Linked DNA regions of Rattus norvegicus. Each later gene encodes a partner of the first gene's protein in a complex. Links are inferred from orthologs where the notes say so. Each region holds a gene or a part of one and is shown on either strand. Other genes may lie near its edges.

What was found. Proteins that work in one complex are often made in the same cells at the same time.
Region 2: the proteins of Alk (region 1) and Alkal2 are in contact, whole or in part, in a cryo-EM structure (PDB 9G5I), measured with the Homo sapiens proteins. The link is inferred for Rattus norvegicus from reciprocal best matches to the Homo sapiens genes ALK and ALKAL2. Residues at the interface, in NP_004295.2 of Homo sapiens: Leu684, Tyr739, His755, Ser758, Leu760, Phe856, His857, Glu859, Leu965, Tyr966, Thr967, Pro968, Leu970, Lys971, Val972, Met973, Glu974, Glu978, Asn980, Val992, Glu994, Cys995, His996, Met997, Phe1007, Asp1009; in NP_001002919.2 of Homo sapiens: Ser112, Lys113, His114, His116, Arg117, Leu118, His120, Asn121, Thr122, Arg123, Asp124, Arg133, Arg136, Leu137, Arg140, Leu141.

Annotation. Positions count from the first base shown.
Region 1 is NC_086024.1:29,319,561-29,325,034, forward strand, and holds part of Alk (ALK tyrosine kinase receptor precursor), read left to right. Parts: intron 1-147; coding exon 148-334; intron 335-1,917; coding exon 1,918-2,008; intron 2,009-2,107; coding exon 2,108-2,172; intron 2,173-3,812; coding exon 3,813-3,942; intron 3,943-5,474. UniProt on the Homo sapiens protein: Neuronal receptor tyrosine kinase that is essentially and transiently expressed in specific regions of the central and peripheral nervous systems and plays an important role in the genesis and differentiation of the nervous system.
Region 2 is NC_086024.1:53,221,314-53,226,887, forward strand, and holds the start of Alkal2 (ALK and LTK ligand 2 precursor), read left to right. Parts: upstream 1-2,068; 5' UTR 2,069-2,507; coding exon 2,508-2,763; intron 2,764-4,760; coding exon 4,761-4,814; intron 4,815-4,894; coding exon 4,895-4,975; intron 4,976-5,574. UniProt on the Homo sapiens protein: Cytokine that acts as a physiological ligand for receptor tyrosine kinases LTK and ALK, leading to their activation. Cytokine-binding is sufficient to activate LTK. In contrast, ALKAL2-driven activation of ALK is coupled with heparin-binding to ALK.

The DNA.
Region 1 (5,474 bases):
AGAAGGAATACTCTGACACGCTCAATCACTCTGTTAGTGTTGTTAACGGTGATGGGAAAGTTGAGAGGTCAAGGTCTGGAAGAGGTGGCCTCTGCTGAGCTTCACCTGGTCCAGACCCCCTCACAGCCGACACCCATCTGTCCGCAGTGTACCGCCGGAAGCACCAGGAGTTGCAAGCTATGCAGATGGAGCTGCAGAGCCCTGAGTATAAGCTGAGCAAGCTACGGACCTCGACCATCATGACAGACTACAACCCCAACTACTGCTTTGCTGGCAAGACTTCATCCATCAGTGACCTGAAGGAGGTGCCTCGGAAAAACATCACCCTCATCCGGTGAGCTTCCTGCCTCTGTCCCAGGGCTGGGTTCTCTGTGCCATGGCCTCCTCTAGCCACAGGGAGCCTGAACAGCCATCCCCGGGTACAGCCCCGGCCTCTCGGGGAGACATGCTTAGTGTCCATAGGCTCATGGGAATGTTTGCTTGCTTCAGCACCCTGTGTGTTCACGAAATTTATGAAATGAAAAGGATAAATCAAGTTCTCAAAGTTCAGAAGACTCCTGGCCCCAGTTCTGTTCTCTGAGCATCCAAAGAACTCATGATTTCCTCTGTCATCCACCACGACACCCCACAGCGAGGATCTGTCAATCATCTGCCCCTGTTCCCAGAAGTATCGCCCTCTTCCAGATATGAGTCATCCCTCACCTTTGTCCCTAGCAGACACCAAGGACTCACTAACTCTTCGTTAAGAGAATAAACATCTGATCATCTTCATGAATCCCTGTTAGACCTGTGTTTGATCTATTTTCTGTGTGCTATCACACAATGCCACAGGATGGGTAGTTATGAAGAAAAGAGGTTCGATTTGTCTCAGAGTTAGGAACCCGAGGTCTGTGACTGTATCTGGTGATGACCTTCTTGCTTGCAAAGACAGAGTGGGCACCCTAAGCTACCAGGACCCGCCCATGGGATGCTCCACCTTAACAACCTTGCCTCATCTGAATCACTTCCTCTCCTCATAGTCAGGATTGCTTTTCTGCGTGTGAACCTCAAACCTTAGCAGACCTGTTCTCACCAGAGCAGATAAAGAAATGGAGGCCCAATAACAGTGCGAACATTAGTTTCTCCAACATTCTCGGTGGCTATACGAACACACTTGAGGGCAGGCCCCATGCCCAGCAGTAGGTGGCTAACACAAAGTGAACTCGATGGTATTTTTTAGAGGTTTTCTAACTCATAATGCTTTACCTGGGCTACTGCTGCTGCTGCTGTTGCTTCCTCCTCCTCCTCTTCCTCCTCCTCTTCCTCCTCCTCTTCCTCCTCCTCTTCCTCTTCCTCCTCCTCCTCTTTTTCTTTCTCCTCTTCCTCCTCCTCTTCTTGTTACCTTACAGGTCTTTTACTTGTGCATTATGGTTTTTAGTTTTGTGTTTTTAGATTTGTGTGTATGAATGTGTGTGTCTCTGAGTTTCTTCAGGTTTTTTGTTTTTGTTTTGTTTTCTGTTTGTTTTGACCTATTCTGACTGGTTTGTTTGGATTTTGTATTGTTGTTGTTGTTGTTGTTGTTGTTGTTACGTTAGATTCCTGTTTTGCTTTTTTTATGAGAGAAATAAAGGGGGTGGCTTTAGGTGGGTGGGTGATCTGGGAGGAGTTAGGGAAGGGGAAACCATAATATGAATAAATTGTATGAAAATATACTCACTTTCAGTTTAAAAAATAAAATAAGGTAATTTAAATAAGAAAGGAAAGAAAGAAGAGAAGAGAAATGGAGGCCAGGGTGACATAGTGAAGCCAAGCTGAAGGTGTAACTCCCGAGTGGTCACCCTTCCTCTTGTGTGTGTACACTGAATGTGACACTGATCTCCAGGTCCCCAGCTGCCTGTGGCTCACTTAACTGTGACTTGTCTTGTCTTCTTGGTACAGGGGCCTAGGCCATGGCGCATTTGGGGAGGTGTATGAAGGCCAGGTATCTGGAATGCCCAATGACCCAAGCCCTCTACAAGTGGCTGTAAAGGTGAGGGGTGGCTCCACCTTCCGCCTAGCCTTAGCCTGAGGTCCCTGTGGGCTACAGCCACAGCTCACAGCCACCTTCTCCTCCCACCCTACCTTCCAGACGCTGCCGGAAGTGTGTTCAGAGCAAGATGAGCTGGACTTCCTCATGGAAGCTCTGATCATCAGGTAAAGGCACAGAGGCCCAGCCTCTCCCCCGACCCCTCAAGGCATAGAAAGATCTTTCTAATGGATGGGGATCTTTAGAGGAAACTGGATATATGTTGGTCCCAACATCCCCCTACCCACACAACCACGGGAAGGACCCCTGAAGTGGAGCAACCGCCCATGATTATCTCAGGAAGGATCTGAGTGGCCTAATTACTGATAGCACCATGCCTCCCCAGCTTCCTAGTGCCAGCCATTGGCTCCCATTCCTCACTTAAGGAAGCATTCTTGCATTAGATGGTATCTCCCACCCCATCCCCCCCCAAGTGACTCTTCCAGAGCTGAGGTCCTTGGACATAGAGTAAGGAAACCAATGAAAGATAGCCGACCACCATACCCCACATCGACAATGACAAGGGCTGCACCCTAACAGATAAGGCAGGCCTGCATTGAAACCAGGAACTTCCTGGGGGTAGCAATTCAGGTCTCTTGAAGGAGGAGGCAGACAGTTGTCCTTGTGACCTGAAGGAGGCTCACAGATGTCTCTGGCGCTATGATGCCTCCAAACATCCTGACCCGGGGAGGTGGCCTGGAGTGGTCCAGGTTGAAGCAGCAAGAATACAGCCAAAAGCTGTCTGAGTGATACATTTATAGGCTCTGGAACGTGTGGAAGACACACTGCCAGGATAGCACTTTGCTTTAAAAAATAATATTTATTTTCTAGTTATATATGTCATATAAGAGTAATAAATAAAACCTAAAACGTATAAGATTACATAGAAGGAGAGCTTAATCATGTAGTATTCCTACTAGGTAGTAATAAATGGATATATTTCAGCATATAATCACCAGTCTTTCAACTCAGAGTGTGTGTGTGTGTGTGTGTGTGTGTGTGTGTGTGTGTGTGTGTGTCCATCTGGGGTTTCCTAGCCCCACTGTTCTGCATATCCTAAAATGACAAGATAAACCAAATCTCAGGACCTTGGGTCCTAATCAGTCCCTGCCCATGTGGAGTCTTCAGAAGACTATGGAGATCAGTGGGCCATCTCTCCCCCTGACACTCTGTCACAGACTGTCACCACACAGGTCACACGATCTCCCTTTCAGAAGCCACTCCTCCAACTTCTGCCTGAGACCTTCCTTAGAGAATTCAGGTATAAATTCATGTAGCAGTGCTCACACAGGCAAACTCTAAAAACATCTGTACACATGCAAACACTCGCATACACACACACATGCACAAACACATACATACATATAAATATGTGTACACATGCATACACACAAACACATACAAACACATGCACACATATAAACATACACCAAACACATGCAAATATACACACATGTGCACACACGGGGCATGCACACACTCACACATGCAAAGTACACATACATGTACTTTGTCACCTCAAAGTCCTCTGACTCCAACAGAATCCTTCCCTGTTAATTCAGCTCCTGCCAAGCCTGCTCAATGTATGCATCTCTCCAGGGAGGTTTACTTCAAGTTCAACCAGAGACCCCTATTTATAGAATATTTACCCATATTTATAGAATATAGCGTCATGGCATGGTTGCTGAAACCATGACTCTCTGCCCTGCTTTTCTTGATGGTCCCAGACCTGGCTTCGTTAAATTCGATTATGCCCTCTGCCCTGTAGTAAATTCAACCACCAGAACATTGTCCGCTGCATCGGGGTGAGTCTGCAAGCCCTGCCCCGCTTCATCCTGCTGGAGCTCATGGCTGGTGGAGACCTCAAGTCCTTCCTCAGGGAGACACGTCCTCGCCCGGTGAGTGACAGCGTCTTCTCTCATGGCTCCCAGGGCTCATGTCCGGGGGAGTGGGTTACAAGGGAAGTACTTGCTTGATGGGCTCCTAGGAGTCAGCCCTGGGGTTTCGTCATGAAGAGAATGGTCAGAATCGAATGGACAGAGAGTGGATGGTGGACGAGAACCTAAGGAGACTGTACAAGCCCTACACGATAGATTCAATAACCTGACTCATGACCTGATGACTCTGGACCAGCAAACTCGGAGAGGGACTTGCATGCTAACTGTGTCACTCACTGGCTCTCCATCCGAGGATTCCGAACCCACTGATCTCTTCTCAAAAACAAATATAATAGGCAGCACCCTGACTGTGTAGTTTTCAGTATAATAATAACAATAATAATAATAACAACAATAATAATAATGACAATGACAACATCATGTTGGAATACCTAGGAGGTAGTATGTATGCCTGTGGTGTCCTGTATGAGGGACAGAACTTGTGAAAAACTCTAAGGTACATCCATGAAGCCCAGCCTTTAACCCCTGCATGGCCATCAGGCATCATACAACACGGGGCAGCCTCACTTTCTTTGGCCTTAGCATCTGTGCAGATGAAAACTGAGTTCTCTCACCTGCCACTGCCACCCAGCAAGGCCCCTGTCCTTTCTCTGCCCTTGCCCTGAGGGTCTCGGCGGAGTTGCTGGCAGAGCTCATGGAGACAGACCATTGTCCCAGCACAGCAGGCAGGAGAAACAGATCCTTGGTGCCTTCACTCTCTGACCCCTACAGTGCCACCCTAGGGAAGGTTAGTGTGGAGGCTGCTGTCTGTTCTGATCTTAACACCAGGCACCATCTGAGGGGTGCTCTTGAGAGAACCCCCTTTTTCAGAATTTTGATCCCATCCATCGAATCTAATCTTGGTGACATCTTTCCTTTGGGTGCTAACCACACATCCAAGTGTCCACGAAACCACAGCCAGGTGGCCCTGCAGTCACCCTGTTCACTGGCCTTCCTCTGCGCACTCCACATAAGCTGTCCTTCCTGCCATGCTGGCCCAGGGGAGCAGCTTTACAGATTGGAGCACTGCCCTCCAGAGTCTCCCCTTCCCCCCACTGCTGACATCTCTGAGCAACGGCTTCCTGGGGAACTGGAGGGTTTGTTGGGGTCCCTCCATGCGCTTGGTGTCACAAAGGCAGCTTAACTCCAAGTGTTTGGTTGACTATGAGAAGGGAATGTGACTTGTAGTGAACCAGTGAATCGTTACAGACGACGCAGAGGGATAGCCCAGGTACTTGGGATAAAAAAAACGAGGGTACTAGAGAAGGGGTGGGTTCTAGGTCTGGAGTTTGCTGGATCCCAGGCCTGAATTCCTCTAGATCAGTAGTTCTCAACCTTCCTAATGCTGCAACCCTTTTTTATACAGATCCTCATGTCATGGTGAACCATAAAATTATTTTCACTGAAACTTCATAACTGTAATTTTGCTACTGTTATAAATAATAATGTAAATATCTGGTAGGCGACCCCATGAAAGGGCCTTTCAACCCTCA
Region 2 (5,574 bases), about 24 Mb from region 1:
TTGTGAACTTACATGTATGGTCCTGAAATCAGCCTTCACTACCAGGGAGCTTAAAAGACCCACCATTCTGGTAAGCGGAGAACTGCACAGAATCCACCTTGACAATGTCATATAAAAGCTGAATGCACACTAATAATGAGTTCCTTCTTTCAAGTAAGTATTTAAAGTCTGGAAATGTTTATATTATCTGGCATGAGGAATGCTTGGAGTCGTTTTACCGAACAACTTTGCAATATTAAACACACACACAAATTATCTGACCTTTGAAAGACTTCATGCACCCAAACCAACCAAGCATACATTTTCTCTATTGTTGGTGCACATGCCTATCTATATAGTGCACTGAGTTAAGCACAATACAATTGGGTGATAGAGAGGGATCCCACGAAGACTCAATTTGTCCCACAGAAGGATAATTTCACCACTAGCAAGGTTTGTTGTGTTGGTAGAATTCGAAGGGGTAGATTCCGTTCCACTGCTGCTCTTTTGTTTCATTTCATCTCTAAAACTGAAGCTTTTTATTCTGCGAAGCGCTGTTTCAAACAGGTCTAGGCAAGTCTAAACTATAATCACAATAAGCTAGAAACTCTCTAAGTTTCCATTGCACTGTGATTAGTGATGCATAGATATTCAGATACCAGAGCATGGTGATGCTGACCTGCTGAAGGGGAAAGCAGTTGGGCAGCTGGACTCCCTCTTGCCAGAACTTCACGTCCCTTTATACACGGAGAGAGAAAAGGAGGACAGGGGAAGTACCCCATCATATCTGCTTAAGATCTGTTTCTCGTGAAATCTTCCTTTGCCTTGCATGCATTTCGTCAGGAACCTATGCCTTTCAACTTTATTGGATGCAACAAAACTAAATAAACTAGAAAAAAAAAAACCTAGACTAAACTAAAAGAAACCCAAATTCGAAAATCAAATTGCTTGCCTTTAAAGATAGACCCATCACCCAAGGGGTCCCATTTTAGGAGGGTCTCCCATAGCTACTGGTCCCACCCTATCAGGCACTTGATCTTTTAGGGAAACAGAACCAGTGAAGGGAGGGAGAAGGTGGTGGAGAGAGGAGACTGAGTTAGAACTCAAGGACCAACAGTGCAGAGCAGGGCTTGGCACACAGCGACCCCGTGGTCAACGCAGGTGAGCACCTGTAAGGCACTGCATCTTCGCAGCCGCCTGAGCAGCTGCGGGTTAAAGATCAGGGCTTTTAATGCTTGCCTTCTCCCTTTCTGATGCTCTACTAGGAACACCTTTCCCCGATGTGATCGCAGACTTGGAGGACTTCCAGCTCCTGCCCAGAAAGCACCAATGAAATGGGAAACTGTGCAGTTGGTAATACTTATCACAAGGGGAAAAGAAATCAAGCAAGTAAATTGCTGAGCCCTTGCAAATGTGCCTGGCTATTTCCAAAAGATCAAACTTTCTTAAAGATGCAGCTTGAGTGGCAAGAGCCTCGGAGCCAACCTGGCCCAGGGTCCAGCGAGGTACAGCAGTGTCGCTACTTTAAGAACCTTCGCTGACTGCTTGGGTCCCTCCAAGTGTGGGGCTTTCTGCAAGGCGCTCCTGCTTCCATCACCTTCTTCAGAAGCAGAAACCTGCCTGTGTTCAGCAGATCCCTCTTCAAATAAGTCCGGACTCTAGATGACACTCAATGTTGAGGCAATCAAGCAGCTCCTTTTAAATAGCCCAAGATCTACATTTAGACAAAAACAGATCCCAGTTCCCGGTAAAGGCGTTTCTGCTCATCCTGTCACTTGTGACAGGAACGGAGGGAAACAGACTGCCGGAGAGGGAGACAGGAGAGGCAGAGGAAGGACAAGAGAGGGGGAGACCAGACGCGGGTGGAGACGTGAGGGAGGGGCGGAGACTGAAGACTGGGCCAGGAGGGGACAAGGGAGGGGATGAGAGAGCGAGAGGCGGAGGGGCCTGACGAATATCCGCACCCCAGAGCGGCGCTCGGTGGTTCTAATTAAAGCGGCGCTCGGAACCCGGGGGACCCGCCTGACGTCGGCGGCCGCGGGGATAAGAAGCGCCCGAGGACAGCCGGACTCGGAGCAGCAGGGTGAGCGCTGTCCCCGTAGGAGCTGTGCGTCCTGTGTCCCTGCGCTGGACTAGTGGGGCTGGAGCTCGTGAAGTAGTGTCGGGACTGAAGAACCGAGGAGCGCCGCACACGCGGGACCTCCGGCGTGAGCTCAGGTGCCCGAGGGCGACGCGGGATCCACGGCGTGGGCACAGGTGCCCGAGGGCAGTGCGGGAGCCACCGCTGGCAGGTGCCCCGATCTCTCAAGTCCAGGGCGGCCCATCTGCTCCGCGGCTCCGGACCTCAGCAGCCCCGGGCGTCACCTGTGACCTCCCATCTCATCGAGGTGTCCAAAGACCCCGCGCGCCGACCCCGCGGTGAAAGAAAGTTCTGCGGCGGGCTCCGCCTGGACTCCGCGTGCGGGGAAACTTGGGCGCGGGCTGCTGGGGCGGCGGGTCCCAAGACCCGCGACACAGCCCACCAGGCCATGCGCGTGTCCGGGCGCCCGATGCTCCTTGCGTTACTGCTGCTACTGAGCACCGTGGGGGACCCGGGACATGCGCAGCCCAGGGGGCCTGCAGACCGGCAAACGCTGCTGAGGTTGCTAGTTGAGCTGGTCCAGGAGCTGAAGAAATTCCACATAGGAGACTCCAAAAGGCTGCAGCTCCTTGGCGAGTCCGACTTTGCCCTGGGCCGCAGAGAGGCCACGGATTATGGGGCAGACCAAGAAGAGCAGAGAGTGGGTGAGTGTTCCTCGGTGTAGACCCTGGTGGAGGGCTTAGAGTGGGTGAGAGTCCAGCAGTGTAGACCATAACATGAAACAGGGTTCTGGCAGCGAAGATTTGAAAGGCAGAAAGTAAGAGGTGAGTATCTGCCAGTGTAGACCTGTAGGGTCAGATTGTGGAAGAGGGAGCCCTAGCAGTGTGCATCTGAGGAGCAAAGTGGGGGAGTGCCCCGCAGCAGTGCAGACCACGAGGTACAGAAAGTTATTAAGACTGAGCTGTTGCAAGTATGGACCAGTGGGCTGCAGAGCGGATGAGGATCCAGGCAGAGTAGACTATGAGGAACAGAAAGTGAGTATCCCAGCAGTGTAGACCTGAGGGGTCCAGAATAGATGATTGGTGGGTGTCTGAAGACGCCAACCTACAAGGTAGAGAAGGAATGAAGGCCAAGGATTCGAACCACAAGGGCAGGAGGGGGTGAGGTCCTGGCAACGCAGAACTGATGGGAATGAGTCTTGGCATCTGGACCTGAGAAACCAAGGATGTGTGATTGTCCAGCAACATAGACCTAAAGAGTGAGTGGGGTCCTGCCACTGTGGGCCCTGGAAGAGTTCTAGCCTCACTGCACCGAGGAGTAAAAGTGGGTCTTGATAGTATGGATAGCAGGGCTACCTTCTGTGACTGAAAGACTCATTATATTAGTAGTTTTTTAAGAACTGTTTTTCAGAAGCGGGTTTAAAGATAAATCAACTTTTGAAATTAACAGAGGGGTGTGTGTTTGTGTGTGTGTTTGTGTGTGTGTGTGTGTGTGTGTGTGTGTGTGTGTGCCTGCATGTGTGTTGTTTGTTTTTGCTTGTTTCTCAGGAGAAACCTGGCAGAAACAAGAAACTGTGTGAGCCTGTAAGATAGCAATCCTAATCCACTTCCAAGATGTACTGGTGCCCAGTTCAGGACGCTCTGCTCCTTACAGGGGAGGGTTCCCAGCCCACCATTTCCAGCAGAGGCAGAAATGGCCAGAGCTTCCCTGATGGAGCCCTTCCCAGAGTGGCCCGTGGGAATTTCTCAGGGAAGCATACAAGCTTTTAATGCTTTCATGACACAATTAGGTCAAATATGATAGGGTCACTTTTGTGTAAACTGACTCAAATAAGGAGTGCACGAAGAAAGGCCTTGGGGAGTAGTCTCCATCTCCCTCCTGGAAGACTCCATGCCAGTGCCTCTCGTCAGCTATTGGGAAAGGGGAAGACAATATTTCTGGTAAAATACAATGTGACATTACACAATCATAGAGAAACTGCTTGCCTCATGTGGGTCAGAGACATAGAAAATGATTGAAGAGGCTGAGAAATGAGGCAAAGACAATATCCAAACTCAGAAAGAAAAATCAGGGAATCGTTGCTGGAGACCAGGTGCCCCCTGAAAGCATGATTATGAAATGGTGTGTGAAAAATCTTTCTTTAATTCCCCTCTTTGCCTTATAAACCAAGGATATATATATATATATATATATGTATATATATGTGTGTATATATATATAATCAGCCTATATATATATATATATATATATATATATATATATAATCAGCCTATCAGAAAACCGTAAAGAAACTTGATCCTTAAATGACACACTTTGGGAGTTGAACGTTCAGGTTTTACTTCTTGAACTTTTAAATGCTGTGGAATTTGATTTCAAAGTTCTTCAAAGTAAAGTGTATGCAAGCGATTCATCTACTGGAACATATAAAAAAAAGGTTTCTTTTCATCCTGTAACTTTATACCCAGAGAGAATAGACTGGTAACATTTGGAGCTTTAGGAGTAGTTAATGCTGCTTGAGAAAAAAACCATGTCCCGACCTAAGTGTCCACATTGTATTTTGTGCAACTACCAAGTGTTCTCCTATTTTATCCAGTGCATTGTAGTATGGATAATGCAATTCTCAGAATTTCCTCCACATTCACTGAACGACCACACTTCATAGGTGCTCTGTTCAAGTAATACGATTTCTCACCCCTCGTAGAGATTGTTCCTCGAGATCTAAGGATGAAGGACAAGTTTCTGAAACATCTCACAGGTGTGTGTCCCCTTCAGTCCTCTGCCCTCCCTGCTCCTTTGTGCCCTGAGTCTCTGTGACTTTCTTCCTCTGTGTTCCAGGTCCTCTTTATTTCAGTCCGAAGTGCAGCAAGCACTTCCACAGACTTTACCACAACACGCGGGACTGCACCATCCCTGCATGTAAGTGAGCATCCAGTAGACAAAACTCTGCTCTTCCTTCAGTACAGTGGGGCTGCTCTGTGACAGGGGTGGGGGCCTGAGTGTCCCCATCTGACTGGATTGGGGCAGGATGCCCAGACATGGGAGCAGGTGGCTTAGATTCTGCAGCAACCAGTGCCACTCACGATGACCCATTGGGCTTAGTCAGCTCTTGCAATGGGCTGACCCCTCTCATCCGCATCCTAATTTGTTTATGAACCCTGGCCCAAAGCCCATGTTCTATTCAGCTGAACACCACACAGGTAGGGCGAGTTGCTCAGGTGTCTGCTGGTGGTCAGTGTTGGGGTATAACCAGCCTGGCTGGCCTGAGGCTCTTTGGTCAAGCTTTTTTGGCCATCTCCATGGCTCTGGCTAGTGTGGTTTTCCTCCCATCAATCATAAACCCCTCAGCACCCAAGATTTTTATTTGCACTTCCGAATGTTGTCCTTCTGGCTGTTCTTCTTCAGCTCGGTGACACAGGGCTCATGCAGTGGCCCCATTTCTCGTATCTTTCTTTCCATTAAATTTCTTTTCATTTCCAACAAGCTCCATCTATTTATCTACTGTAGTATATTTCACT